4 linked regions of the Danio rerio genome follow. The protein of the gene in region 4 purifies or fractionates together with the protein of the main gene of each other region. This does not show direct contact. Links are inferred from orthologs where the notes say so. Each region holds a gene or a part of one and is shown on either strand. Other genes may lie near its edges.

Region 1 (6,928 bases), about 53 Mb from region 4:
GGAGGACAAAAAAATAGGGACGATAAAAAAGCATGTTTTCAGTTCTGGATCTCCATCAGAAACGCCATCAGGAATGTTTCAGACTTGAGAATGGAAGTATACGTGTGCATCATCATTATTATTGTTAAGCTGGACAAGACACATTCGCAAACACAACAGTAATAAATATACAAAAGAAAAATCTGAAATGAAGGCAGACGAATGATGAAGTCTCAGTTCACAGCATGTCATGACACCTGCGTCAATCTCTAGTCTTAAACCTTCCACCGACTGTCTGGCTCTGTTATTTTAGCCACTGCAAAAGAGAGAAGGACAAAAAGAAAATTCCTTGAAGGTGACGGTCAAACCTGAGAAGAGCAGGGCATTCTGGGATGCTTCTTCTGGAAGTCAGAGTGATGTGGGTTGAACGTGACGGGCTCTGTACAGCGATTAGAGGTCTTCATGTGGATTTCTGTCGATAGTGAATGGTCAGGTCTCCTCCACTCTTCCAGATGAAATGCTTCACAGTCCTGAGGTCCATGTTTGGATCCAAGACCTGTAAAATACAGCAAGCATTTGTTAAAAACAAATCACAAATTAATTTAAAGGGACAGTTCACCCAAAAACAAAAATGTACTCACTGGCTGCATCCAAAATCCCCTATTACTGAATTTGAATGTACAACTTCACCATTAGAAAGGTATGTTCTACACAATATGAATGTGAGCAATATAAAGGAAACTCGGACGTACTACATTTTGCCATACGCCATTTTGTCATGATTACGTGACTGACCCATGCTGGAATTCTCTCGTGGTGCATCATGGGATAGCATAGCGTTTATCCAATGTGCACTTCAGAATCTCGCTTGAAGTCATTCGGGAATTTCTTGCATAATGTTTTTCAAATTTGGAAATACTACTCAGCTCATATACTGTTTTAATCGTACTATATATCATTGAAGAATGTAATTTCAGACGCAGCCACTATGCATTCACCATCAAGTGTTTTCAAACCTTTATGAGTTTTTTTTTTTTTAACACTACAGAAGATGTTTTACAGAATGCTGAAACCCTTTGACTTCCATAATAGGAAAAACAAATACTATGGAAGTCAATGGTTACAGGTTTCCAACATTTTTCAAAATATCTTCTTTTGTGTTCAACTAAAACATGTTTGGAACAGGTAAACAATAAGTTGATGTCGATTTTCATTTTTGGGTGAACTTTCCCTTTAACAATGTGGCTGAAGGACTGTTTTGTTCCATTTAAGACTGTTCACACAACAAACTAAAACTATATTAGCAGCATCCATATTTATCAATATATGCTAATTTTGTGTTTATTAGAATCATCATAATTTTCATTGTAAATATTTATCATCTGCCACTTTAACATTGTCAATGTTTTTATAAATCATTTGCTGGAAGAATTACTTGAAAGGTAGAATAATGAAAGAAATTACAACAATATTAAGTGACTTCATTGTTAAAGCTTGTTAAAGAGGTGATTGAGAGCTTTTTTTAAATTTAGAGTGATTTCTAAAGGTTTAACATATTTTTTATTATTATTTTCATAGTTGTTTGCGGTGGTGTGAACAGGCCTGTCTGAACCAGAGTTAATTAAATCTAAAAACATAATCTTTCAATACTTTAAATAAAATAACATTTAAAGAAACTTAGTTAGTTGCAGAGATAAAATCAGAATATTTACACATACATAATTAAATGAATTAATTAAAATAAAATATTAAAATAACACAATTACAAAACTTCACCAACTTAAAAAAATGACACTAATTCAAGCAACACAGTGTAGATTACATAAAACTCCCTGAAATTTTAACAAAATTTAGTGCATTAATGAGCATTAATTCATAAATGTAGGTTAAAAGCGACCAAACATATGAAGCAGAGAAGGATTTACTCAAGTTATTATGTTACAGTATTTTAAAACTGTTTAACTGAGATTAAAGCCACTTTTAACCCTGGGTTAATCAATGTGACAGATTTAACAAAACTAAAGCCTGGTTTATACTTCTGCGTCAAGTGACCGGCGTAACCCACGGCGCATGCAACGCGCGTAGCTGTGCATTTATACTTCTGCGCGCTGTCTCTGATGGTCTGCATTAACACTTCTAAAACGCTAGTTGGCAGTGAGGTGTAAATGTTCCTCTGTGTCGAGTTTCTTCGCTGCTGTTTTGCTTTTCCTGAACACTTCCTGTATGTACAAGTGCGGAGGTGCAACAACTTTAACTATGAGGTAAACACAAAACAAAACTTTCCATCAGGAGCTCCTTCATGGGACTCCACACTTGTAAACAATCGCTCCATCAGGCTCGCACCATTCACGCGGCTCTCGGTCCCTCCCAGACTCTTCAGCACTACCAAGCCAACCAATCACAGAGGCTGTGACGTGTAGTTACATTTTTTGAGAGGTGCACGTCAGCGACGCCGACGGCCACAGCGAAGGGCTATGCGTCAGCACCGTAGCATACGCCGGTGTTTGACGCAGAAGTATAAATCAGCCTTAACTGGACTGCACTGATAAGAAATTCGAAAACAATCCCAAAGCAATTAAAAAACCATCAACTGTCACCTTATTTACATTAGTTTCAGCATCTGAGGGAAAATAGAGTGTTGAACAGCAAATAATCAGTACATTATTTTATTCTTTTATTCGTGTCTAGAAGCATTAAAGAATCCGATAGCATGTCTAACCTGATCTAAACACATGAGCTCAATCTTCTCTTCAGCCATCACCGACACGTCCTCCTCTTTCTCCTGCTCACCCGGCTTGTCATTGGCTGAGGAGCTGGTGGCCTGCGACTCCGTGTCCAGGTTGATGATCTTCTCATAAACGTGCTCCATCACTTTGCGCACCTGCAGCATGTCGCTAGCTGACAGGCGATCCCTGAAAACAACAGAGCGGGATTAGGATCTCCAAAACCTTGATCTCGGAAAAAAACACTAAACAAGTCAAATCTAAGCACTTTTCAAACACTTTCCAGATGCATTTTCAAATGATTTCCAGAACTTTACAGGTGTGGCAAATGACATATTTACATACTATGCTACATATATCTGATGCTACGTGTTATTGTCACTTTCCACACCACACAACAGCCTCAAAACATTATGCAAATTCTGAGTGTGCCTCCCACAGGTGAGTGGGCTTGAAAAACTATCTGTAGAAAAAAATTGCACCTGATAGTTTCTTAAGATCACTCGACATTTAAAAAAAGAAAAGAAATAGAAAAACATTGTGCATTTATGAAGTGAGCTTCACACAGGTAAGTGGGCTTGACAAACCACCTGCAGAAACACTCTTCTCTCTTAAATAAATAAATAAATAAATAAATAAAATAACACTACTCCCTCCTAACTCTAGCACTTAATTCTCTGAAGAGATCCATTGTGTAATTCTTGCGTGTATTGCCTCTTCTTGTTAAATCGCTAAATGCTTCCTCAATTGTACATTTAAGAGTTCACACTTAGATATTGCTTGATAATAATGGCAGGTTTGGCATGCTGTCCCAGGAGAGAAGCCTGAGGTCTGAGATAATTGAGCCCAGGGCTACCACATGGTAATTTAGCATTTAAGGCGGTCCAAGAGCAGGTAGTTCCAGTGAACTCCCTCTAGTAGAGGAGGAAAAGGGGGAGATGGGGTGGAAGGGGGGGATTTTTCCAAAACGAAGGTAAGAGAAGTAAGGTGAAATGGTCTATTTATTGTAGGCTTGGATTAATCTGATAGGTTCATTGATGATTACAGGTGAGAGACCAGCTGTCTATCTATCAATAATATCATGTGTTCCTCTCAAAATTAGTTTATCAAACTTCCCAAAGGGTTTACTAAATGAAGTAGTCTTTACTATATATAGTACAGTTTAGTAGTATAGTGCAGTACAGTATTCTAAGAAAAAATGTGATGGCATGTTTTCTCCAAGCCCAACATTGAATTACTGTCATTTATAAGGATGTAACGATGCACGTATTCGTATTGAACAGTTCTGTACGAGACTTTCGGTTTGGCAAACACTGCACTAGCTCGCAAAATGGGTATACTGTTAATGTAATCCTCCTATAACCAACAGCAGTTCTGGCGTTTGGGAACACTTTGTTTTCGGTACATTTAAAGCTGTGGATATGAGACAGGGCTCGAAATTGCAACTAATTGTTTTGGTTGCATATGCGCCCAAAATTTTATATATGCGACGTTAAAATATATTTGGGAGTGCATAAAATTGATGTCGTGCGACCAGTTTTCACAGCAAAATGTTCACCACGTGCGCGGAATTGGGAGGCATTCACGCATTAAGCATCTAAAAACAGCAAATGCAGCACTCGGGAATGGTTTAAAACAGTTGACATGTCAAGTTGCAGTAAACTAAGCCCACAATGCTTGCCCCACCTTCAAGCTCTTCTTATTGGCCCACTGCGCTAGAACAGAAAGCGAATGGATTGGTTAATATCGCTGTCAATGGCTGAGTTCCAATGACAGGAAGCTACAGCCGCAAAAACGTAAAGGTCTGGATACGAGAGAATGAAAATAACACTGACAGATTTAGTTATAGAAACCACCAAAGGAACAAATGTAATGAATGTCAATCCAGCATTTACACTTTTTGAAGAGTGGATAAAAGACTTCCAGTGTTTAAAGTCTGCTATGAAAATGACTAAAGCATTCACCGTAAAGCCGGTGGGACAGAGTTTTCAGGTAACAGTGTTTGCCACTGAATCTACACATTAAGCACGAGATGTTCTAACATAATTAATCATCACGATGCTGTCAATCGTGCGACTGACACCGTGTTCACCATCGCTAAAGAGCATGCATTCACTGAGATGAAACTAATATTGCAGCTCATGAAAAGACCGTTACTGCTATTAAGATAATGCACGCAAATAATAAGTTATATGTCAATATCATCTGTGCAATATCAGACACCACCCGTGAGAACACAGTACAGTTATTATTGTTAACTAATAATAGGGCCAGTAAATTAAAATCAGAGAAATCCTCAGGCTTTTTTCTTTTTTTGCTGTATCGAAAACATACCGAACCGTGACACCACTGTGTTGTATCGAACAGAACAGTGGTTTTTGCGAACCGTTACACCCCTAGTCATTTACTCTCTGAAGTGTAATTAACTCACATTGTAAATGTGCATACGCACAGACTTAAAAAATATTTATTTTATTTAACTCATTATTATTTACCTATTTAAGAACTAATTATTATGAAAGCAGAATAACTATATTTTCAAGTAGTTTCAAGCACTTTATCCAAAAGCTAAAGACTTTTCAAACCTTAAAAACAGCAGAATCCAATTCAAGGATTTCCAACACGCACAAGAACACCTAAACACACTTCAAAATAGACTCATAGTATGTCTAAATAGTGTTTAACTAAAGGTGCTGTATGCAAGTTTTTCTCCTCTAAAGTATAAAAATACCATAATATGTTTGCAGATATTTAAGAAACATGCTAAGTGAACATTCTTGTTTATCTGAAAAACAATGCTGAAGTCAGATATTCTGCTTTGAAAACGTGCGTTATGTGCCGGAACGGCTGTCTTTTTTTTGGTTCTTTTAACTCGCCCAATGCCAGTTTAACCAATTATATTTCAGCATCACCGGTTGCATTGGTGGAAAACAGCATATTTCATTCAAAAAGACTCTGAAAGCATGCATCCGTGACCAAAATGCGATCTCCGGTGGACAGTAGCAGACTCCGAAATGAGATGCAGATTCAGAGTTCCACAAGAGGTTATTAATTAGAAAATAATATTACGAGAGTAAACATTAGGTGAGCAGGTTACATTGTAACCCTGTGTCAAAACACGTTACGTGACGAGATTTGCAGTGATAAGCAATTTGGCTGATTGCACCAGACAAAACACGACAGAAATTTAAATACAGTCATTCAGAAACACTGAATATGCACTCGCTAATGAAATGGTAAGGTTTATAATGTAATTAATACATACTAAACCTCTTTAACATTATTAAACGTACATGCTGAATCATCATCATTGTCAGCCTTCTGTAGTTCAGCTTTAAGTAATTTAAGCCGTTTCTAAAATAAAAATTTCAGGTGTTGGTTAGAACAAAAACTCCTTTTAATATGGAGAGTATTACTTCTATCGCATGCTGTTGCTTTTATTTAGAACAAGACTTGAATCAGCCTTTAGGCTCGATTGTCAGACTCGTTCCAGTTGGTCAATCTGGCAACCTGGCACTTGTTTTTGTTTTGATCCAAGAATGTAATACCTAGTTCAGTCACTGGGTGTCAAACTTACATACTGCAGCTTTAAAAACAAAAGTAGAATAATCCTTAGTGCTTTTAATTTCAACACCTTTTCCAAACACAACCTACTTTTTGAGCGTTTTGGCCCCAGATGATGAATGAGGTTGGAGGTAGAATGGGATCTTGTTGAATTTTGGCATGTTTTTCTGAAAGGAGGAAACATTGTTAGGATAGTTCATCCAAAAATAAAAAAACACATTCATTAATCATTTAGTCATTTACCCTTCCCTTGTTGAAAACCTATTTGAGTTTCTTTTCTCTGCCAAACACAGAAGATGATATTGCTGGTAAAAATGCCGGTAGATGGCACACATAGTCATTTTTTACCATCAAAAAAGTTGATGTGTGCCAGCAACCAGCATACTTCAAACTATCTTCTTTTTTGTGCAAAAGAAATAAACTCACAAAGGTTTAAAAACACATGTAAAGTAAATAATATGCAATCTTTAACATGCAATCAAAAACAAATTATTGAGTTGATTGTGAAATTTGAAACACTCACATCTACAGTGATATCGATAACCCACTGAGGTACGGTTTCATTCAGTAACATAGACTCCGTCTCTCCTCCAGAATCACGGCATAATAACCTAAAATTGCAGTGAAAACGGATTGTAAAAAGACAAGTTCTGTGAAAGAAA
Region 2 (8,706 bases), on a different chromosome or scaffold from region 4:
ATAAGAATTTGTGGCCAGCTGCATCATTTTCAGCAGCAATCACATTAAGCAACTCTGAGGGTAAACTTATTCTTTGCTCGCATAAAGGCTATAGAATTAAAACCTTTAAGATGTAAATCTAAAGCATATTTACAAATTCATCCATCAAATTGTTAGTACTTTTATATTAAAATAATTTTTACAGTAAATAAACAATTTACACATCTTGCAATCTTCTTAGTCATTTATCCCCCAAAAATGCAGATACGTATGGGTGAATGAAAACACAAAAGGTCATGTCATTAAATTGTTTATTTTTTGTAGACAAATAGTGTGACCTTAATGTTGACTATTCAAAAGTTAAAAAATAAAAAATAGACAAGCTCACTTATAATAGATAAATATTGTTTATTTAGACAAACCACCAACACAACTGTATAGAGTTGACTTATTCTACATTGTCAAGCACTCATTGAGTGATTAATATTCATTAAGCTTCCACCTAGAGACAGATTCTGCCTGAACTTTTCCAAATAGAAAAATTCATTCTCCATCACAGGTACAGGTAAGCCACCAGATCACCGAACACAAGGCCCAGAAACGCAGCCATTGTGACCTGTTGAGGGAAAAAAAAAAAAAAAAAAAAAAAACTTAAAATTCAAGTTACCAAATTAAGCACTGCATTTGGCAAACTATCTAATATTCACATGTGCCTTGTGACAGGATCCAGACTCAGAGAATGACCTCTGGCCTGGGTTTTAACAAGAGCAGCTCAATATACCCCCCTGTTATGGCCACTAGAGACACAGACAGCCTCCAGTGGGCAAAGCGTAGAAGGGAACACTGGACTTGTTAACAGTCTGAACATTTTTGAACTTACAGATGTAACCAAATGCATTGAACAGATTAAGGTGCTGCTCTATGCATCATCTGTTGTCTCCTTTTGTTCTAAAATGTTAAACTAGCTCACGCAATAAATAAATGAATCATGGGATGACAGTTACTCACCGAATGATTGCAGATTTCTCTTCCTAGCCTTTACCTCCTGCAAACAAAAGAAAACAGACTAAATATTGATCTTTTTAAACAGAAGTAATGAATATAATTGTTGAAAAGTTGTTTCTCCCGACAGGATCCGAAGCATGGAATATCAAAGCCAGCACTTCAGGTTTTTGAGAGAATTCTTCTGCCCCCCTGTGTTATTCACTCAAGCCATAGAAGGACTTGAATGTGCAATAAAAGGGGCTGACAAAACAGAGCTGAGGGGCTGAGAGGCACCACACTCACCAAGTAACTGTGGAAGGATTCATCAACAACTGTGGGCTCTGGAACAAGACCATCTTTAAGCCTAAGCAAGGAAAAAGCAATCATGTTAATTTCTGGGTTTTATTTGCAAGCTTTTTCCATTGAACAAGAACTGACGCCAGGATTTGTCTGGTTAAAAAGAAAACAATGAATGAAAGTCATTTACAAACAAAATCACAACGTGTTCTCTACAGATACAATTTGTAAATTTAATTTACAAAAATTTGAGCCAATTCTTTTAAAAATAGGAAAACTAAAGACCATAACTAAATATTTAGCGTCTAATAAATTGGCTTTAAAAGATAAAATCAATATTTAATCTTGACTAAAACACAAACTCGCTTTGAAGAACAAACAGGGAAGAGCATGCAACATTTAATGTAATTAATTTTGACTTTATAGATGTGTGGATTTCATGCTTTGTTTTAGATTTGTGCAAGGGTGAACAAACACCTTAGAACCATCACAGAGCTAAAACTCTTCCTTTTAGATATTAAATATATATATTTATATATAAAAAAACACTTCCTTACCTTTATATTTCAGACATTGTAGTAATTGGTGATTTCCTCTTCAGTCAGGGGGCTCAGATGGCCAGTCTGTAAAAATAAGTTTAACATTAGGCTAAACATTAGCAAGTAGACCGCTAACTCACCACGTGCTGTGTAGAGAACACGTGGCCTTTTAATAATTAAAAAGTTACTAGTGTTTAATACTAACCTTAACGTGACTTAATAAATGCATTGCTTCATTATTTAAAAGATATTTATTATAAAAATATTTACCAAGCCTTAAACACTTCTAGAAAGCCCACTATAACTGTTCAGGTTAAATAATTAAAACATTTATAGTCCAAGTTGCAAATACAGGAGTAAAATAAAACATAGAGTCTATTTAACTAATTAAAAAATACAATACATATGTGCATTAATCTGAGTATTTAATCTCACCAGAGGTAATTTTGCCTCCGCTCATGTTTTCTGTGCCTGCTCTCAGGGATTGTGCAAACGGAAAAGAAAGAACACGTGTGACCGGTGCGAGGAATTCTGGGACTTTTAAGGGGACCGCCTCTAAATTCATTTCGCCTCTTCAGATGATTTGGGGAGTCAATCTGATCTGATTCACTCTGATGATTCAGACTGATCAGCAAACAAAACGTTCTGACCGGTTTTGAGAAAAGAATCGACTCAGTAGAATCACACACGCTATTTTGCATGGCTGCACAGCACACGAGGCAGTGTTGTTTAAACTAGATAAAAATTAAGATCAATATTTTGTGAAAACAGACCTATTGTCATACATTTTGTCAGAAAAGTAAAAATAAATTTACTTTATATCTGCATTATATGTGCATTCTTAGGGGCTTGTAAGTGGAAATGGTTGTTACTTGATTTAACCCCTTTATCTATCAAATCCAAATTCTACTGGCCACAGCGAATTTATCAACTGATGTTCTCACCATTCATTGGTCAGTTGACCTGTCCATCAACTGACCAGCGTTTCGTGTCGTACTCCCCAAACGCACCAATCGGGACTCAATGGGCGGGGTTTGACCGCTAATCCAGGATGTGAATGTTTCGTTTAGGACGTGCAACTGGCAAAGATGTTTACAATAAGTTTATCCAGCATTTTTATTCTCATTTGCAGTGGCCATGAAGAAAACATCTAGATGAAAGCCGCCGACGTTTATCTCACGCTTTGTTTGCACTTTGCATGAGCGGCGGGAATTGAGTGGTCACTGATTGCTGTCCTCCGTTGGGATTGCAGCTTGGCCTGTCAGTGTTCCGCTGTTACAATCATGTTTATTTCATAAAGATGGCAACGAGAGGCACCTTATAAACTAAATGACTGTCAGAAACATCGCCTCCATTTGTAATATGGTAAGTAGAAGTGTTTGGATAGCATGCTGGCTAGCTCTTACGTAATGATGATGGTTGAATGGCTTTCCTCAAAATCAGGTGCATGACCTCATTTATGAGCTGATGCATGCTTGGATCACTTCTCAAGTAAATGCAGCTATCATAACTAGACGTGTTTGCTTGCTCATGTAATAAACTGTGACTGAAAGCTTAACTGCCTAAAATGAGTTTTACAGTCAGTGATTCCGCTTTGTTTTGTGATAGTATATGTAGTGTGAATCTTGTCATTTTAAACAATCAAGCAATCTCAGTGAAAAATATCTGTACTTTTTTGTTGCAGTAGCTCTTTCTATATACTCCGTATTTTCTAACATGTAAATAGCGTATTCATTGTCTAGTCGTTTTTGATTCTGACGTCATTTTGAATGTATACGAATATTAAACAGTGCTGCAGGTTGGTCTACATACAGAAACATTTTAACATTTGTTTTGGAGTTGCCCATTATAGCAAGCCGTTTTGACATTTATTCAACAGCCCGTACTAGTATTTATTTTTATGTTAATAGTACTTACTTTGTAGATACTACAGTAGGATCTTTTCCATTAAATAGTAGTGCTTATTCATTATACTAGTGCTTATTTGTTGGACACTAGTGGTGCCTATTATTTAGATACTAGTACTTTTTCTTTAGCTACTATTGTCTTTTGTAAATTTACTAGTACTTATTCATTAGATACTAGTTTTTATTCATTAGGTCCTAGTACTTAAATAGATAGGATGTATTAGATACTAGTACTTATTCATTAGATACTAATACCTATTAAATAGATACTAGTTCTTTCTTATTAGACACTTATTAATTAGATACTAGTACTTATTTTAATAGTGACTAGTAACTATTCTGTTGTTACTAGTAACTTTTTTTTCCCATTGATTTCTATAGGATATGTCATTGAGATATCGACTATTCAGTTTTGACTAGTGTGTATTCCAGCTGGGACTAGTACATATATTTTTTTTATGTACTAGAAGGTAATCATTAGGTACTAGTACTCATTAATTAAATACTAGTACCCAATTAATAAACAATAGTATCTATTTATTATCTACTAGTACTTAAGTAATATATACTTATACCTAGTATATATGGTTACTAGTCACTATTAAAATAAGTATTAGTATCTAATAAATAAGAATTAGTATCTATTTAATAGGTACCTAGTATCTAATGAATGAGAGTATAGATATATACATTAGATGTTGCCTACCCTGCTGTTGTCTATTAGAAGGAATGCATCAGCAGAGCCGCCATTTTAGTACAGGAAATGAAATGAATGCGGGACCAAGATGCAGTGAAGGACTGTGGCCATCCAAAGCCAGAGATATATACACGTATATCTCTGATCGGGAGTTTTTCCGGTTGTCAGTATGCAAATATTTTTTTTTTTAATTACAAAAATTTAATTTTACATCTTTTTTCCACTGCATTTTCGGCATTGCCGACAAAGAGTATATGTTTGTGTGCATGGAAATGTATTATTCTCTCTCCTTGTTTAATTTGGTCTATTCCGCGTCCTGAAACACACCCCCTCATGCTTTCACTTCTCATTCTAACGGAGGGAGTAATTCGTTTATGGGATTCCGTTATGAACGACTCGTTCCCTTGGCTGACAATAATACAAGTTTCTGGCACTGCAGCAACTTGTTGTCATATTTCATAACATTGTTTGCTTATTTTATTCAACAAAACTAGCATAAGCCTAGTATTTAGTGTGAGTTGGTGCTCCTTTGCCCTATGGTGAATGTAGTAAGAGACTATAATAAGATAAGAGAGTATTATCATCATCAATATTTGTTAACCACAAAAGTTCATAACATAAAAATGTAAAAAACTAAATCTTACGTATTAAATGTTTTGCCTTAGTGCTTTGTTTTCTTTGTTTGCTCGTTACTACACCCGTACACAGCGCTAAAGTCCAGCATCTTCACATTGGCACACTGTCTTGACCACTTCTGTCCTGGGAGCACTGTACAAATGTGGCGGCGCTATTGACGCATACTCAGGGTATGCGATATCTAGTGTATATATATCTATGATAAATGAGTACTAATATCTAATTAAAAAAAAAAGTGTCTAATAATTAAGCACTAGTATATTTTTAAAAGCAATAAAACACTTAGTATCTAAAGAATAGGCACTAATACCTATAAATAAGCACTAGTATTTAATGGAAAAGATACTAGTATCTAAAAAAATAAGTACTAGTAGTAGTAACATAAAAATAAATACTAGAACAGGCTATTGATTAAATGTCAAAATGGCTTGCCATATGTAGTTACTTTTTGATGGATTTCTGTTTTTTATTAGAATCAACGTTATGTCCAGCTTTCAACTTTATTTTAAAATGTTTTTTTTAAACTTTTTTTTACATTCAATAGATCACTATACAAAGAATATTTATTGATCAATTTATCACTTCTGTTGGTAAAAGTCAGTATACAAAAGCCATTATTTCTTATTTTAAAATCAGACTTTAAGCTGTTTATCTGACAAACAAAAAAATCTGTTAAGTATTAATGAATGCAAACATTTACATGTTTTTATATATTTTTTCCTTTCGTTGTCGTCATCCCCTGGCTTTTGTATATTGTTCTTAATTTTGAATTGTCAAAAAAGTGCTACTGGTCAAATGAGCAGTTACTGGGTCCCTCAAACACGTAATATACTGTAAAAGAAACCACAATTCATCTGAATATGTCTGGTTCGGTACGGTGGCACAATGGGTAGCACAATCGCCTCACAACCCTAGCTGGCTCAGTTGGCACTTCTATGAGTTTGCATGTTCTCCCCGTGTTTGCGTGGGATTCCTCCAGTTTGCTCTTGTTTCCCCCACAGTCCAAAGTCATGCGGGACATGTGCATTGAATGAATAAGCTAAATTGGCCGTAGTGTATGTGTGAAAGAGTGTGTATGAATGTTTCCCAGTACTGGGTTGCAGCTAGAAGGGCATCCGCTGCATTAAACTCATGCTGGATAAGTTAGCGGTTCATTTTGCTGTGGCGACCCCTGATTAATTAAGAGACTGAGCAGAAAAGAAAATTAATGAATGAATGAATTTAGTAATTAATTTACTACACATTATATTAATTAATTGTATTAATATTAATTATATAAATTAATTAATTATAGTATAATACACCATGTTTGAATAGCATTGATTTTTTTCAAAACATTTTCATTGACATGTTTTCATTTTGGTTTGAGTTGGTCTTTTAGTGATTTTATATCCTTTTGTAATTTTAAATTGTGCATTTTATTATTTCACTTTCTGTTTTATTAGTTTTCGTATGTCAAATTCAACTTTGTGTAGAGTTCAGACAGTTTCCTTGGTGTCTTTGCAACAGCATAATTGTGTATTTAAGTACAAAGTAATATTCATTTAAATTAATTATCTTCTAAAAGGACAGAGTTGCATGAAAAAAATTGTTGTTTTTATAGTAGCTGGGGAGAGATGAGCAGAGAAGGTAGAGCTTGTCAAGGATTCTGCAAAATAGAACTTTGTATTTTAAAGTTGCACGGTATTAAAATTCCATGATTAATCAATTAAATTTTGCTCAGAAAAAATGAGTTTAGTGTTTCATGACCATTTAAGTAATGTAATTTTCCTGATTTTTGTTTCAAAAGTTTGCAATGTTGGATTCATCTTTGGTTGGCTTTTAAAGGACATTTTTGTTTTTCTTTTTTTATGGAAAAATTGTTTCCACAATCAGTGTTGCTGAAAAGAGAATTTGTGCTAATGCATTCTATGGGAGCAGAGCCCATTGTTTTATGTAATACTGGTGTTTCTGCTGGATATCTGACATTGCATGAATATTTCAGTGCCTGAAACTGGCCTGAAGCCTGTAACCACAGTCAGCTCATCCTTAGATATCTGCAGGTGCTGTGTCAGCCTGGGCTAGATGTGGTTAGAAACATGAAGAGTGAATTATTGCCAGCATGAGGGGGCTTAGACTTAACGTCTGACTGCTGTTTAGTGCTAGTTATGTAACCCATGTCCGGACAGGGTTCATTTGTTCATTGGTGTGTGTGTTTGGGGCCACATCTTGTAGTGGCTCATTGGCCATGGATACAAGGCAAGCTAATGAAATGTTCTCCTTTATGTCTTCCAGGTTCAGTCCTGTTAAATGACCTCATTATTGTGCGATTGGTGTGCACAACTACATGTCTGACCTTCAGTTTGAAAACATGTGTCTTTTATTACATGTACTTTCGATTGAAAACAATCTAGCTTTAGCTGCTTTAGTCAGGCAATATAGTGGCTTATGTGTTTGATTTGTGTATGTGACCTTTTATATATGGAATGTTGTTGAAACAATTGTTTAAAAGAAATGCATCCCACATTTGTGACTTTCTTAAGAATTTACATATCACAATTCATGTTTTCTTCTTAAAATTGTGAGTTTATATGTAATATAACTCTCGCTGAGTGCATATCTGCAATTCTTGACCTTTAGAAAAAATCTTCTCATCACATAATGTTTTGACACAGTGTCGCAATTTCAAAAAGTTTTTGAAAGAAATTTAAAGAAAACAATGTTATGAGAATCCATCAAATAAATTAGTCTGCTTGGTAAACAAATTGTTGTAATCAGTTTCTACAAAAACATCAGCTTCAAGTGGAAATTCAACAAACAGGGTATATACAGAAATATTTATTAAATACTGATTGTAAGAAACGAATCCTAAATTAAAACGTTATTCATATACTGAACAAAAAAGCTAATCCAGCAGGTGGCACCTATTGACAAAGTCCCTTTAAGACAACTCAATTCACTCAAAATCTGCAGAAACTCATGTCTGGTCTAAGCCCCTCCCCTGGAGTTTTGTCAGTCTATAACGATCAATAATGGGCTCCTGTGCTAGAAGGCAGGCTTTATAGCCATAATGACTGTTACACTTTTCTCTATTCAAAACAATACGAGTGACATGTCTTGTGTATTCTACTTTGCTATTCGCCTTATTCTTTGCCTGTTGAATCTCTTTGGCTCGAGACTAGGCATGGGCCGGTATAAGATTCTGACGGGATGATAATCTTGGACAACATCACGGTTTCATGGTATTATGATTACTGCTTTAAAATATATTATTTTCAAATGTCTGGTAAAAAAAACTTTTTTCCCTTTTGAAAACAATATATTTTATTTTTTGAAATCTTTAAGATATTGGAGGAACAAACATGTCAGGCTAAATAATTGAAATGAATCATTGACTTCTGCTGTCTTCATTAGTTTCAAAAACACAGATATCTTTACCATTTAAAATGGCAACCTTGGATATCTTTTCTGCTGGAGATACAGTTTCCCTAAAAAACAGAAGCAAAAAAGTGTGAAAAAAAATTCTTACACATACCTTAGGAATGGTATTACATAAAAATTTGGTGGTTTTAAAACCTTGACTTTTCCAAACCGCGGTATACCTTAAAAACCGTTATTATCCATGCCTACTCAAGATTTCCAGTCTCATTCCCATTAATTTTTAGACGTTAAAAACAGCTTGTTCTGC
Region 3 (8,095 bases), on a different chromosome or scaffold from region 4:
GTCAAGGAGCAAAGATAAATAATGTCTACTTTAATAGTGGAAAGATCGCGATTGTATTTAATCTGAGCACACAGGCGGTCATGAGAGCACTTGCAGTTCATTTGAAAAAAAGCCTATTTATTAAGAGCTCGCATATCTGTTTTAGCGATTTGCGTACATGAATGCGCTTTCGTGTTAAAATAAAGCACTCGCCACATTAGCAGAAATGAGTTATTGCGGAATACCTCCATTCCCGCGCTGCCATTCAGAATGTATTTAGAGGAGTGACAGGTCAGAGGCGAGTCGACTGGCTGTCGGAGACCGAAACGTGTATGTAGATCATCAAAATGGCAGAAAATATGTCCGCGGTTTAATTACTCTGCTAGACATCGCTATAGTGAAAACATCCGACAAGCATTATTCCAACAAAACATTTGTTTTAAAGTTGTTTTTCTGTCTCTGCAACACAGAAAACATTTGTCCCGCCCTTACTTTTTACGCAACTAGACAAGGTCGACTGTGATTGGCTACTTTTCATGTCAGTCAAATCAAGCTTCAGAGTCAATTCTTAAATTGATTTACAGCAGCTTTTGACACAATGCTCTAAAATAAACATTCTAAGCACAGCGTTGTGATCGTACGCTTCACAAAATAGCCAATGCTGATCACATCAATGTTATATTACGCATCAAAGGATTAAAAGTGTTAATTGTTTCTTTCATTATCCAGCTCCTCCACGTACCACTAGGAGGAAGCCCGCGTACCACTAGTGGTACGCGTACCACAGTTTGAGAACCACTGCCCTAACCAACATAGTTAACCTAATTAACTAATTAATCAATTTAAGCTGTATAGAAGTGTCTTTAAAAATATCTAGTAAAATATTATTTACTGACCTGATGGCAAAAATAAAATATATCAGTTATCAGAAATAAGTTTAAACTGTTACGTTTAGAAATGTGCTGAAACAATCTTCCCTCCGTTAAACAGAAATTGGGGGGAAAAAATAAACAGGGGCATTAATAATTCAGGGGGGCTAATAATTCTGACTTCAACTGTATGTTTGTTTGTGCACGTAGTAGTAGTTGTAATAGTAATAATAACAATAATATTAATAATAACAATAATAATAATAATAATAATAATTGTAAAAAAAAAATAATAATAAAGACAACAACATTAAAATGACAATATTAATAATAATTTTGAAAGAGAGGAACTTTTGCTTAGGACCATATGATGTTTCAGTTTTTCTTTTTTTTTTTTATCTGCAAAAACACTGTTTTTATGTCAATTTTATGTTGTGTGTACATTGAGGGGAAAAAAGAACTTAAAATGATTTTAGCAAATGGCTGCAATAGAACAGAGAGAAAAAATTAAGGGGGTCTGAATATTTTACGTACCCACTGTATGCTTTACATCAGAATTGCCAGAAAGTAGACCTCAATGTGTTTTTTTTTTTTATAACCTTTTAACTCTGGGATTTTGGGATTTGGGATTTTTACGGTTTTAAAAATTTAAACATGGTACGAGTGGGTTGTGCTGTAATCTTTGAAAATAAATAGTTTATTTTGAGGAACATACACATTTTAGTTACAGATATTCCGCCCATAATGGATTCATTCAATGTTGAAAATGATCTTTTTTAAGTATAGTTAAGTCAAAACAACTCTGACAGCCTGGGGGAAACATTGATGGATTAGTGATGTTTGGGATGTCACATCCACACTGGTGGAATTTAATGGAAGTATAGCAGATTTACTCCAGTTGATTGAGTATTCAGAAATATCTGAAAACGTATCATTAAGTTTATTTGTATTTTGTAAAGATGTTTGAGGATTTCGTAAATATAATAATACATCATCAGTGTAGAGACTAATTTTATGGTGTGCATTAATGTTTAAATGTTTACAGTGGTACAATAAAAATGATAAATAGAGATAGAGAGAGTGTATCTAGTTCTCCAGTGTAGTGTGAAGCTGCGTGATGTTAGTCTTTTAGTAATGATGATGGCTGAAGATGATGTGGAGAGAATTTTAGAATGATTGTACTGTGATGATTTAATTATGTTATGATCAGATGTTATGATCGTTTCGGCATGTCTGCTTGTAATTAATTGATTAAAGAGCCCATATTATGGGTTTTTGAAAATTCCCCTCCATGTAGTGTGTAACACAGCTCTAAGTGAAGTAAAGTATCCAGCTAAGGCTTAAATCTGTAAGAGTACAGTGTTTAAAACGGTTGATTCATCTATAAAAGAGTCGACTCATAGCGCTTCAAACGAGTCGCCTTGATACCGAGTCATTAGGCGTTTCGCCAAAGATGAAACCTCAGTATTATAACCAAGCAGTTGGAAACTACTGGAAACTTCTGCAAACTACATGCTACAAAGAATACTTTATCGGCGTTTGTTAAAGGAAGGATCAGTAAAGAGTAACTTACTGATGGACGTCAGGATGGGTTTCTTCCTCCATTTCTCAAGTGTAAGTACGTGCGATTAAAGTTGTTGCCTCGTTGACTCTAGCTTGCAAATGTATTTAGTTGTGATTTGTTACTTGTAACCGCGTGTACTGTATCAGGTTAACTGGCTATATTCTCTTATCGCGTGCAAAGTCACGTTAAAAACGCGACGCGTGCTGCTTTGTTTACGGAGCTCCGTGGACGAGGGTAGTGTGTATGTGCGCGTTCGCTGTCGTCCTGAGGTGTGTGTGTGTGTGTGTGTGTGTGTGTGTGTTTTTGTGTGTGCGTGCGCACGCAAGGACGAGGGCAATGTGTGTGTATGTGTGTGTGTCTGTAAAAAGGGCAGAGTGAGACAAGCTATGTGATCTCCTCGACAGTTTTTGGAGTTTTTGCTCAATAAAATAGTCGTTTGAATTTTCAAGTCCATCGACTGTATTTACATTGACCCACTGGCAGCTAAAATCCACGCCTACACTATCGAGCGTGTATGAACTGTGATTACTTTTATATTGCTGATTAGCTGTTTGGCTTTTCACTCTGACTGAAGGCAGTCAACCAATCGCAACAGGCTGTCATCGGTCCAATCAGCGCAGATTAGCTTCGCGCTAAGGAGGGGTTTGGGAACAAATGAATCACTGGACGATTCATACAGGAGTCGCTGGGACAATTAGGTAAAAATAAATACAGATTATAAGACCATGAAAGTGTTTTTTGACCTTGCATGCATATTAGACTGTTGTTGGAGACCCTTACAACCAAGATATGACTCTATTTCATGTATAATATGGGCTCTTTTAAAACTTTGATACTTTTTGTCTGGGAGGCAAGTCCACTAACGTTCCAGGAAAAAAAAAAGTGATTGGTGACATTTTTCAGAAAAATATAATAAGGAAATAGAGATGTATATTAAGAGGTTTTAAATAAACATTAGCATAGTGTATAATACTTTGTGGTTATGCTTGGTCTTTCTTTGGTGATGTTAAAACCACCACATCAAACCTGTAGCTCTTTTAAAGAAATTGTTGCAAATCATATTTTAAATCTCAATATTGATCAGATCAATCGCAATTCAAATTTATCTACAATTTGACTCTTCGCTAAGCCCAGACCTCCTTAGTTACTGTTGCTACGCCTGACAAGCTATCATGCCTGGCACGGCTGTTACAATGTGTATGCGCCGCTGTCAGACATTGCCAGGGATATAATGTAATTTTTGGCGAACAGGTGAGATGTCCGAGAAAGCCAGACAAAAAAGGACTGCAGTATGCATTTCAGGGGTATATTCACCACATAAAAGGCAACCGATTAGAGAATAATTTAATCAAAACTGAAGCTAGCTTAACCTAGCCGCCTCATACTCTAACCATTCAACAGCTTAGTTCATACTCGGCAGTAGAGGTGAAATTTAAAAATAATCCCATAATAACAAATTAAACCGTGATTTCTCTATTTTTAGCCAAAAAGCCTGATAGATTAATTTTTGTGCAATGAAATATACCATTACTAACCAACGAGGAAACACGCATGATAGTGCTTTTACATAGTATATACATAGAAAGAACAGCCAGAAAGGGGAAACTCAAGGATTTGTGCTAAATATTAGCATCATTGACCCATAACAATGTACAGTGAGTTATCTATAGCTGTCAGTATGTTTGTGTACTTATTATAAAATATTGAAAAACAGCTGCTGGTAAAGTATATTGATCGCAAGTGCTCAGTTTGTGATTATATCTCGGTTTTGTTCTGTTGATTTGTAATTTCAAATATTCGTAGCTTGAAATAGATGGAAATATGAAGTTAAGTAAAGTTAGCAACAGATTTGCATTTTCCGGATCAATAACTCATGACCTAATCGCTATTAGTATGACTAAGTTACTATGGCGAAGCCTTAAACGGAGCAGTGCTCATAATATAGAGCGAAAAAAAAAAAGAAAAAGACAGCTGGGAAACATAACCTGCTTTGTATTTTTGTAGGAAACACAGTTTAGGTCTGTTTAGGGTAAGAGGTGTGTGAGTTATTGCCGTGGTTCTATCACTTATTGTGTCAGAAATATCAAAACAAAACCAACTTAACTCCGCTTAGTGCCCCTCACAGAGCTTGATCCACGCTGGCATTTCTCCTCTTGGGTTTTTGGTTTTGAAAAGGGAAAAAATTCCACCATCCTGACCAAACTTTAGGGATACCAGGTATCAGATTTGCACAATCCATATGCACTCACTCGAAAGCTTGACAGAGCCCCTGCGTGTAGCTACAGTTGCTAAGCCACGATTGGTGGGTGGCGGTTTTTGGGTGTAGATTAGCAAAGGGTCAATGGTGCAGCCCTACTGTTTTACTAAACTCTTATCAAAATGTGACCCCAAAAGCAGGGAACATACCAAACTGTGACTTTGGTGTAGCGTTCCAGCCCTACTGATTAGACTTGTAATCACCCCATTTTATATAAACTCATATTTTTGCTTTATATTAAATTTTTCGAAGCTACCAAACCAAGAAGAGACAGGTTAGTTTTCTTATACACTTGCCTTTTACAGACATTTCATTTACCTGGAATGTGCACTTGTATGTTTATGTCAATTTATGCATATGTCACCGTATATGTATACCCTACCAGCCACATGGCTGCTTATTATATTAGTTAAAAAGCTTTATTTATATACCATGATGTCCACCTCTCAACCTTAACTATGTACAGCGCATAATCATTGATGACATGAAAAAGGAGAGAAACATTACCTCCCTTTCGCCAAAGCTGACAATCACACCCTCCTTCTTGGCATTTTTTACCATGATGGTAACTGCAACTTGAGACTCTGTCTGGTACCAATCATGTCTGAATGAAGCAGAAATTCATTAAATGTGATGCAATTTTATTCTATATTTGTACTACTAAACACAAAGAATTTAAAATAAAATTATTACACCACCATACTTACTTGACATGGGTTGTAGTTTGCTGTTGTTTAAACAGTCAGTTGTAAGTGCATTTCAGCAGAAACAGAGGGAAAATAATAAAAAAAAAGCACAAATCATTGTTTGAGAGAGAGAGAGAGACAGAGAGAGAGAGAGAGAGAGAGAGAGAGAGAGTTTATTGCCATTTCAGCTTCTTTGGCTAGGTCATGGCAAAAAAAAAACTGATCAAGTTTACAACATTTTATAAATACCACTTTTCTATATTTAAAAAAATATTCTAACAATTAAAATTCATCAACAGCACATCGTTTAACAAAAACAACTGATCTCATGTATCAAATTACTCAGTTTTCTCAATTAAGGGTTCGTTGTGTTTCTTTAAATTAAGATGATAAAAACCAGGCAATAAAATTAAAGCACTAGCATAATACTGTATATTTCTTTTCCAGTTACATATAGATAAAGACAGTAAACAGACACTTACCAAATCTGAAGTTTTGTTTGGAATGTGTGCTAAAAAATCAGAAAACTATTGTATTAGACATACACATACACACAATCCCCGAACTAATATTGAATTAAAAAAAAAAATTTACGTTATACATACTCGCCATTTCAGTTTCACAGTGCTGCATCCATGTTTGAAATTCTTCAACAGAACCTTTGTATGACAAATACATATCAAAATGTAATTAATATATAATTAATATAAACTAATTTTGCAATGACATCTTTTAAATTCAACAGCATCAATTAAAGGCACCAATGAATGAATGTTATACATTTAAGTGCCAATAATATTTGCTTCAGATACAGTTAAACTGCAGTATTCTCATGCATGGTATCTTTTTAGTATAAACAGAAACAAATGTTTATATGCGTTTATTAATTATAATATAACATAGTAAATAGTTTATTCAAAATAATAGAATTATAATAATTTTAAATAAATAATTAAAATATAATAACAGATCTAATAACTAATTGAATAGCTTAAAATGACCTGCATTATAGTTTCATTAATCTGATTACAATTTGAACAACTGGAATTATAATATATATAATTGATAAGAATCTAATTACTGGAAGTATAAAGTTGGCTTAAAGGGGCGGGGCTTAGACCAGAAGCAATCAATCAAATTTTGACAGCTGGTCTATACACCTAACTTAGCTGTAGATAAGATAGATTTTTTTTTCTGTATTACCAAATGTACATTTTATCTATTTAATTATTGGGAGTGTCTTTAATATCTGCCTAAACCCAAAAACTGGTAGACTTTCTAAGAAAGTAACTTTCTCACTGATGACTAGCATTTCTTCAATCCTTCTTTGCATGGTTATTCTTTTTTCCCATGCCCATCAATCTTTCTCCCAGATTATTATCATTTTTTTAATTGAAAATAAGCTTTCTCTAGTTAAGCATTGCATTTTAATGCAATTGTTCTTTCTGATCATTCTTCCCACACTTTAGGTTTAACATTTAACTGTGAATACACACATCGCCCACTTGGTGACTTACTGCATGCTTAAGTGAGGACTGTTCAGAATATCTCTTCCCAGATAGACTTCTTGATTAGTGTGAATGCTAATGAAGCCTTGTTTTTTTACAGTAATCCACTGGCACCCTTTTGGTTGGCATGGTATATGACAGAAAGTGGCAGTCGAGGTCATTCTAGCTTGAAGTTCAAATATCATATGAGAAGCACTTCTTAAAATGCTTTATATACATAAATACTTATGTATGAATGTTAATTTCAGACCATTTTGTAACCATGATTTGAATATAGCTGCAGATGATAATGTGAAATAGCTTACTGTAACATCTGAGATTATACAAAATAAAAAAAATAAAAAAACATATACTGAGCCTTATGGTCTCTGAAATGTTAAAACTTACAAAAAGTTGTTTAAAATATAAACAATAGAGCTCTCTAGAGAAAGTGAAACCACTTGTGCTTTTAGTTGACCTCCTAATTAACAACATGGACCAGATTATGTGAAAATATATAGTTTTTATCTGTCTCATTGTGACTTCTGTCATTGTGGCTCACACAAATATACAATTATATACACACAAATTGACACTTTATCATAGCTACAATATAATAAGCCAGTATATCACATTTCCATCAAATTAATGTGGTGTCGCATTACCTTTACACTCCATACTTGAAAAAAAATTAACTCACTGTCAAGGTCTCTTCCTGCTGTGAGGGCCTGATGAGCAGCGACAAAGTTATGTAGGTGATACTCCGCAATTCTTCAAAAACAATGACAAAAAGAACATTAGGCCTGTCATTTAAAATATTTAACTTTTTTAAAGTATTGTGAATTGGCAAGCAGTAAATATTACTATACATGACAGATATCATTGTCCTAGAATGTTACACATGATCAGATTCTTTGCTTAGCCCATCAGAAGACTATGATGTAAAAACCCAAATCAGAAAAAGTTGGCACAGTATGGAAAACACAAATAAAAAAGAAAGAAGTGTAATTTCTAAATTTACTTTGACTTATATAGCATTGCAATACAACAAACATTACTTACTGTGTTTCTCATGATTAAAAAAATATATATTAACCACTTTGTTATGTGGCCATTCCTTATCTCAACACTTAAAATACCAGACCCAGCAGAAGCAGTCAATACTTTAAAAGTGCTCAATTATTAAGATTTGTTGAAACTATTATTATTATTATTATTATTATTATTATTATTATTATTATTATTATTTGCAT
Region 4 (8,281 bases):
CGGTTTCCTCACGTCTCCTCATACCTCAGTTCCTCATCACATCATGACCAATCAATGGCTCTCTAGTGTCTGACATGCCCCGCCCCCTTTAAGACGCTTCTCATTGGCTGTTCATTTGATGACCACTCTCACTGGTAGAGCTGTGATAAAACAAAATGCTATTGGCTGCTTTTTTAAAAAGGGGAGGGGCTTTGCTATGTCCCGCCCTCTCTTCATGTTTTGATTGAGATCAAGTCAAACATCGAGTAAAGATGCCCGTCAAAGCACTTGACTGGACCTTTAAGGCTGAACGGTGAGCTTTAAGAAGACTTTCACTGTGTTTAACTGTCCACTTCTACACTCCAAACGGTCCACATCAGCCGGCAGATTCAGTTTAGCAGAACTCTGTCTGTGTTGAGCTGCTGTGACTCAATCTGCACAGAGCAGCACTACAGCTGTAGAGATGAGCTCAACTCAGAGAAAGCACAACACTGCCATGCCCAGAACCATGTCTGATCATCAGTCCAGCCGCCGCTGCTGCTACTCTACATCCAGGTGTGTGTGTGTGTGTGTGTGTGTGTGTGTGTTTTAGGGCTGCATGATTTATGGTTTTGCATACGGCAATGTGTGTGTGTGCACAATAGTCAGATGCCAGGATCTGCAGTGTGGAGTCAGGATTAGAGTTGATCAGCAGAACAGATGAGCACATGAGCTTTGTGGAGTCAGAGCAGAGTATAAGCAGAGCTCCATCATCTGTGTGTGTTTCACAGGCATTCCAGGAGAGCGTAAAGCATTCACACACACACACACACACACACACACACACACACACACACACACACACACACACATCTGCAGGTTACTGGAGATTACTTTTACTGAATATTAAATCAAATGATGACTTCACAGAGCAGCGCAGAGGGAAGAACAATCGCCTCATAGCAAGAAGGTCACTGGTTCGAGTCTGGGCTGGGTCAGTTGGTGTTTCTGTGTGGAGTTTGCATGTTCTCCCCGTGTTGGTGTGGGTTTCCTCCGGGTGCTCCGGTTTCCCCCACAGTCCAAACACATGCGCTATAGGGGAACTGATCAACTACACTGGCCGTACTGTATGAGTGTGTGTGTGTGTGTGTGTGTTTGTGTGTGTGTGTGTTTTCCAGTGATGGAAGTGCATCCACTGTGTAAAACATATGCAAGATAAGTTGGCGGTTCATTCCACTGTGGCGACCCCTGATGAATAAAAAACTAAGCTAAAAAGAAAATGAATGAATGAATGAATGAATGAAGACTTTACAGTGTTATTTGACTTTTTCTTAGTCAGTCCCTGAAGACTGTTTGACTCTCCTGATGCCATAAAGCTCGTTTATTTCACTGTGTTGTGCTTTGCTCTGTTGTAATTCTGCCTGCTGTAATTTAGTTATTTATTTATTTATTTTATTATTATTTTTTTAAAGATTTATTTTTGGCCTTTTTTGCCTTTATTAGACAGGACAGTATTTAGACAGGAAGCGAAGTTGTAGAGAGAGAGAGAGGGGTTAGGGTAGGTAAATGTCCTCGAGCTGGGATTCGATCTCGGGACGCCTTGACACGCTCCTGCATCATATGTCGACACGCTAACCACTAGGCTATTGCGTCGACTTAGTTTTCATTTTTATGCATGATTTACACCCTTACAAAATCCCCACAATCAATCCAAATTCAAGACTTTTCCCCCAAATAGAGCTCTTCAGGCCATGTGGTGAACTGGGCATGGGATGATAACCGGGTATACTGCGGTTAGGAAAAGTCAAGGTTTTAAAAGCATCAACATTTTCTGCGATACCGTTCATAATGTATGTGTAGAATTTCTTATTTATGTTTTTAGGACAGCAGAAAACACATTCAAAGATGCCATTTTACATAAAGAAATCAGAGTTTTAGATTTAATGAAGACAGCAGAGGTCAATCATTCATTTGAGTTATTTAGCCTGACGTGTTCACTGCTCCAAAATATTAGAAATGTTTCTCAAAATAAAATATGCTGTGTTCAGAAGAGTAAAAAGTTTGTGTTTTTATGCAGACACTTAAAAAGAAAATATCTGTACAGCGAAACCACGATAATTTTATCCTGGGTCATCAAACCGTCAGAATCTAACACCAGCCCATGCCAAGGTGAAACTGGAATATACATCACTGAAAAACAAAATATTGCAATGCCATGTCATGCAGCCCGGTCCAACCCAGTCCTGCAGAGTTTAGTTCCAACACACTCACCTGCAGCACCGCATCAGTGTGATCAGGTGTGTGATGGACCCTTTCCACATCAGTGTTCTGACACGTTCAACACTCATCAGCATCTTCAACTCTTGAAAGTGTTAGATATTCAGATTTTTAAATAAGCGTGTGCACATTGACATGCGTTTATGTGTGTGTTACATCATCAAACTCCCGTGTGTGAGGTGTGTGTGTGTGTGTGTGGGGGGGGCAGTAAACCTGCCGTTATTCTCTCCTCCGGCTGCCGTTATCAGTCTCACACTATTGTTCTCCTCCTCCTGACGGTCTGGATCACACTATCCTGGAGTGCTTCTGTCATTATGTCAGCTAACAGTATTGTATTAATGATGTGCTGTACTCTCCTGTTTGATGTGTACTTGATGAGCAAAGGGTCCATTGGGGCCGGAACTAAAGTGTGCAGATGTGAGTGTGAGCCGTGTGCTGTAGTGTGTGTTTAGTGTTACCTGCGTAGAAGCGCAGCAGTGAGCCCAGCTCGGTGTTCATGCCCTCCTCCTGCACGCGCCACGGGTCCTTAAAGCCCAGCTTACAGAGGAAGTCATTCTGGATCTGCAGGGGCCGCTCCTCGGGGCCCAGGCGGCGTGCGGCCTCGCCGTGCAGCTGGACATACAGCGCCGGGCCCGACTCTGCATCCTCGGGAGCACTGGGGTCAGCGGGGCCCGAGTCTGCAGTGTGAGAAGCGCTGGGGGCCGCTGTGGGCCCCGGGTCCAGCTCCAGCTCATCAGAGGAGCTGCCGTACGGATCCAGGCCCTCCACAGGACTCAGCGCACACGCCTCCGTCCCCAGGATCATATCATCGCTCAGGGAGTCGCGGTGCTGGCCGAAGTGGGCCCCGGGCCCCAGATCCTCACACACACTGCTGCTGTCCACATCCGAGAAGCGCTTGGAGTCCTCGTCCTGCGGAGACGCCGAGTGTGTGAAGAGCTCAAACTCCGGCTGCGGGTACCGCGGGTCCCTCTCCAGCAGCAGCAGCCGGTCCTGCAGGCCCTCGGCCCCGTTGTGTGGCAGTCTGAGCGGGTCACAGGAGTCAGGGAGGTCGGCGCACGGCGGGCCCCGGAGCCGCAGGACAGAACCGCTGCTCTGCTGGAGCCGCTGGGCGATCTCCAGTGCGGTGCAGTCCACGGTGCACAGGACGGGCCGCGGTGGCGGCGGCGGAGCCCACACCTGCAGACGGGGGTGCACATGCACCGAGCCGCGCCGCAGGTCCACACGCACCCACTGACGGTCACTCGGCTGCAGCAGGGGCCCGGGGCGGGGACGGGGCCGCAGGGACAGGGGCCCGGACACCAGGCTGGACGGATGCCTCTTCACCCTCCTCTTCCTCAGGCTGGAGCAGGCTCTCAGGGGCTCTGCGGAGATCGGGCTGCTCGACGCGCTCTGCTCTTCATCCTCCTCCTCATCCTCGGCTCGCACGCACACGCTCTTCTTCGCTTTCGCGCTCTCCATCCTCGCCGTTAGTCCATGCGCGCGGGGAGGATCGCGCCGTGCCGCGCCGCTCGACAGCAGATCATGGAGTCTGAGAGAGAACGGCGTAAATCTCGCGAGAGAGAAAGGCGCGAGAGTTCGGTCACGGCGCACTGAAACGACACACAAACATGGGTTTTCGAGTTAATTGAGATTCTGTGCTGCACATCTGCGCTGTTCTGCGGGTAATCCACACACGAATGTCAGAAAACAAAACAAGAGGCGTCCACTTACAGGAAGAGGGAAGATCATCGCGAGACTTGAGGACGAAGCTGCTCCAGAAAGGATGATGACGATGATGTTGAATATCCCGTGTGGAACTCGGCGATCATTCGGTGACGGTGATATATCGAGTATATTAGTGTTAAACGGATGTTTCCGACTAAAGGCAGTCGTTCCTGAAGCGCTGCTGCGTTCTGTGTGTTGATGAGTGAAATACAGCAAGGAAGCGCGGCGCTTCACGCAAGTCTCGCGAGACGAGAACCAGTCAACGCCCCCGACGCAGGAGCATTCGGAGACTAATCGCATCGCGTGTGTATTTTATTATGATTTACCTTCACGTTTTTGTTCTCAAATCAAATCCATTATTGTCCATTCTAGATTTTGTGTCCACAAACCGAAACGAATCGAATGTACGTCGCTGTGGTGTAGAACTGCATTTCCCGTGATGCCCCGCGCGTTTGTTTTTGTTGGTGCGTCACTCTCTTCTTCACCGTGTGTGTGTGTGTGTGTGTGTGTGTGTGTGTGTGTGTGACGGTACTAAATCAGCAGCAGTCAGCGGTAAACACACTCGGAAAGCTGAGCTCCTCACTGCGCTTATCACATCTCAAATAAATGTCCGCCAACTCGTGCGCTTCTCCCTCAGCGTTTGTCCCTCAGTGACCGCGAGCGCGGGTTATGAGCAGGGAATCAGTCTCGCGGATGATTTCGCTCATTGGAAGTCATTTAAATGAATATAGATGTCAAGTTAAATGTTGAGGGAGTTCATGTCGGCGGGCTGACGCAGATGAGTTGGAGATCTGAAGAGTGTTACTGCCATCTGTCGCTCACACAGAGAAACACACACACACACACACACACACACACACACACAGTTGGAGAAGAGGGTAGACAGCGCTGGGTGACGCACAACTCTTCTAGACTTTTACCAGAGTATTCTGTCGCCCTCAACAAGCTCTTAAAGCATGGAAGTTGTGTTATGTGCACAATTTCTCGTTCCATAAAGCAATTTTGTGGAATAATTCTTATATAACTGTTAATCGCAAATCTCTCTACCTGCAAAATTGGACAGATAAAGGTATTTTTTTCTTGTCTGATATTTTGGACCAATCAGCTAATTTATTTTCTTACAAAAATTGTATGGAAAGATGGTCATTCCCTATTACATTTAAAGAATATAACTATGTAACAAAAGCCATCGGTTTACTAATGCTAATGAGAAGTCACATGTCTTCATATAGGCTAGTATCAATATTTATAGAAATATCCTCCGCTTTACTTACATGGGGTACACTTTTGTAGTTAAAAATGTACAAACAAAGTTATTAGATTAATATTTTTCAAAAATAGAGCCTTAAAACCTAGAGGAAAATGTTTTTGGAATGTATATTTCGATGATATTGTGTGGAAAAAAGCTTGGTTGCTTCCTTTTCGTTTTTGCGTAGGTAACAAATACAGAGAACATTTAAAAATTTTACATAACATTTATATTAGTAATCAAACATTAACTAAATTTACTCAGACGGATGGAAACTGTTCATTCTCTTTACATCACTCAGACACGGTGATTCATCTTTTTTATGATTGTGAATATTTAAAAAAATTTGGGAAGATCTATCATTGTATGCCAAAAACAAAAAAATCAGGTTTTAGTTGCAATTTGACCCCCAAAGACGTTATATTTTTAATTTGTTTCAAAGAATTTATCTGGAATTTTTATTGAATTTTTTAATTTTGTTCGGTAAATTTCATGTTCATAAATGCAGGTTAAATAACACTAAACCTTGTTTAAAGGTTGCTATTGCAGATTTTCATTTGTATATAGAATCGCTCCAATATTTTAAGAGCTAAAAATGTATAAATACAATTATTGCGGCAAAGGAGCTGAAGTTATTTGATTAGTATTCTTGCTGTCAATTGGATGAGTATTATCATTGTAAAGATCTCTATGCTGAATTGTCTTTTTATTTGTTTAATTTATTTTTTAATTTATGTTATTAGCTACTTTTGTATTTTTTGGATGTCATGTTTAAATTGTATATTTGTTGTTCAATAAAAAAATAAAATAAATCAATAAGTATTCTGTCGCCCTCAGCTGATTGAGGACATCTGTAACCCGCGTCAATGGTTCAGGAGGTTCAGGTTTAACGTCCTTTCGTTATGTTCGGGTTTAAAACACCCTCTGAATTAAAGTGCTGTGAATGTGTCTGATGATAAACATTGTTCTGCACACATCTGTTAATCAACCTCAGTCATGATCAAAACTAATAAATGTTTTTAAATAAATCCATGGCCAAGCTCATGAGATCCCGGATTTGGGGACTGAATAGATGAAGAGTTTAGATGCAAAAACCTCTGAAGTTCTCTTCTGAAGTCAGCACTGTTCTCAGCCTCCAATATATTTATGTGCAGCTATTTCTCTTTAAGGCAATGCAAGGAACCTATTTTTAATGCAATGATTTACTGAACACACAGGATTTTGCCAAAATACCCCAACATTTCAGATGGCATTTAGAGGTTTATGCATCTAAACTCTTCATATGTTTATGGTTTATTAGTCTTGGACCACACTGGCCTTGATGCATTCTCAGTTTGTGTGCAATGCAGATTGACTTCCATTATAATCACATTTTCTGATTAAAGCTGACAGCAGACAATCATCCAAACTGACAAAGTGCAGAATATGAGCCCTGTATGAGCTCACTTATTCCATTTGACTGATATGCCGTCATACATTGTGAAAATTATCTATAGAAGAAGTCTTTAAGATTCATTACATTTTTAATTATTCAAGTCGCAAAATTCTGACTGAGGAAAGTTGAATGAGCTGACCAATTTGTTATTTGCCTTCAGATTTATTTTAAAGCAAGATGTATAATAAAAAAAAAATGTATTTAAAAATAAGTATTTTTCCATATTTATTAATTTTTTAATAATGCTAATCTCATATTGTTTATAAAACAGCATTAACTTACAATTTAAATGCAATTTTTTTATAAATCCTTTGTAGTAAAATAGCATGCTGAGTACTTTGACGAAATTGTAGGAAATATTTTTGGTGCATCAGAAAAGTGTGGTAATGATCAAAAATGGCAAAGATTAGTTCTTAAAATGTCACTAAAATGCATAAATAAATAGAAATAAATAATATTGAACAACTGCAAAAATGTCCACTTTTTCAGTAGTCTGGCTATGAGCCTGTATAGTCGTCATGTTTTATTTCTGATCATCATTACTGATGAACTTTGACATTTTAATCTCATCTGTGGTCAATATCTGCTCATACAGCAGTAATGAAGCATTTAGAGCGGTTTAATTGCAGATCGTCCACTGTGTGGCGCTGTTTGCACATAATAAATGTACTTGCAGGTTTCCAAATATGATGAAGGATCCAAGAAATGCTCTAAAAGCTCGAGTAACCCTCAGATCCTCCACCACCCATCCTGCTCAGAGCTGGGACTGACCCGGCGACTCTCTGCATGTGAGTCCAGTGCTCTAACAAGGAGGATAAAGACCATGACTACTGCTGTCTTACTGAGGTCAGAGCAGTGAGGTTTACCTGGCCTCTGCTACACTCACCCTCATACGGGTCACGGCACCAACGTGACCCTGCCGGTCCTAATGCACCCAGCCTGCTCCGAGCTGGGTCTGGACATGCTTCTGGATTTAGGACATTTGGACTAGAGACTGAGAGCAGCAGATGTGTCAGTGTGTGCTCATCATCGGCATCATCGTGTACTTATGAAGACAACACACACACACACTCAGTCGGTGTTGGTAAAGAAGGTCAGGGTTTATTGCTGGAATCGTGACGCGCGCGCTCACACACACCCTCATATAAAGTCATGCAGTTTCTACAAAGTCTTCAAAAACACACACCTCTGTTACAAAGATGATTGGGTTCCTGCTGGAGCTCCGGCTCTCCTCGTCATGTTCAGCCAGAGTGTGTGTGTGTGTGTGTGTGTGTGTGTGTGTGTGTGTGTGTGTGTGTGTGCGTCGACACTCAATCCAGATCAGATCAAACCTACACCTGCATCAGCCCACAAGCAGTCCTGATGCGTGTGTGTGTGTGTGTGTGAGATGGTCAATATGTATATGTGACAGTCAGTGTGTGTGTGTGACAGTGAGTGTGTATATGATGTTCTGTGTGTGTGTGTGTGTGACGCTCTGAGTGTGTGATTGACAGTGTGTGTGCATGTGTGTGACTGATTGTCGGTGTCTGTGTAATAGTGTGTGTGATTGTCAGTGTGTGTGTGTGTGTGTGCCCGTGCAAGAGCTGCTGTGTGTGTGTGTTGCAGACTCTCAGGACTGATCAACTGTACAGCAGGTAAATAGAGCATGAACACGTCAT

The links.
Region 1: the proteins of phlpp1 (region 4) and wdr48b purify together in Homo sapiens (affinity purification with mass spectrometry; 5 studies listed by BioGRID and IntAct, with this or other methods). This does not show direct contact. The link is inferred for Danio rerio from reciprocal best matches to the Homo sapiens genes PHLPP1 and WDR48.
Region 2: the proteins of phlpp1 (region 4) and usp46 purify together in Homo sapiens (affinity purification with mass spectrometry; 7 studies listed by BioGRID and IntAct, counting the BioPlex papers as one, with this or other methods). This does not show direct contact. The link is inferred for Danio rerio from reciprocal best matches to the Homo sapiens genes PHLPP1 and USP46.
Region 3: the proteins of phlpp1 (region 4) and sugt1 purify together in Homo sapiens (affinity purification with mass spectrometry; 5 studies listed by BioGRID and IntAct, with this or other methods). This does not show direct contact. The link is inferred for Danio rerio from reciprocal best matches to the Homo sapiens genes PHLPP1 and SUGT1.

What each region holds. Positions count from the first base shown.
Region 1 is NC_133177.1:53,194,485-53,201,412, reverse strand, and holds part of wdr48b (WD repeat-containing protein 48), read right to left. Parts: intron 6,878-6,928; coding exon 6,790-6,877; intron 6,434-6,789; coding exon 6,357-6,433; intron 2,892-6,356; coding exon 2,699-2,891; intron 536-2,698; coding exon 440-535; 3' UTR 1-439. UniProt on the Homo sapiens protein: Regulator of deubiquitinating complexes, which acts as a strong activator of USP1, USP12 and USP46. Enhances the USP1-mediated deubiquitination of FANCD2; USP1 being almost inactive by itself.
Region 2 is NC_133195.1:25,681,558-25,690,263, forward strand, and holds the start of usp46 (ubiquitin carboxyl-terminal hydrolase 46), read left to right. Parts: upstream 1-3,102; 5' UTR 3,103-3,128; coding exon 3,129-3,164; intron 3,165-8,706. UniProt on the Homo sapiens protein: Deubiquitinating enzyme that plays a role in behavior, possibly by regulating GABA action. May act by mediating the deubiquitination of GAD1/GAD67.
Region 3 is NC_133176.1:29,653,614-29,661,708, reverse strand, and holds part of sugt1 (protein SGT1 homolog), read right to left. Parts: intron 7,614-8,095; coding exon 7,543-7,613; intron 6,015-7,542; coding exon 5,961-6,014; intron 5,867-5,960; coding exon 5,838-5,866; intron 5,397-5,837; coding exon 5,377-5,396; intron 5,274-5,376; coding exon 5,177-5,273; intron 1-5,176. UniProt on the Homo sapiens protein: May play a role in ubiquitination and subsequent proteasomal degradation of target proteins.
Region 4 is NC_133177.1:263,440-271,720, reverse strand, and holds the start of phlpp1 (PH domain leucine-rich repeat-containing protein phosphatase 1), read right to left. Parts: upstream 4,164-8,281; 5' UTR 3,946-4,163; intron 3,825-3,945; 5' UTR 3,694-3,824; coding exon 2,694-3,693; intron 1-2,693. UniProt on the Homo sapiens protein: Protein phosphatase involved in regulation of Akt and PKC signaling.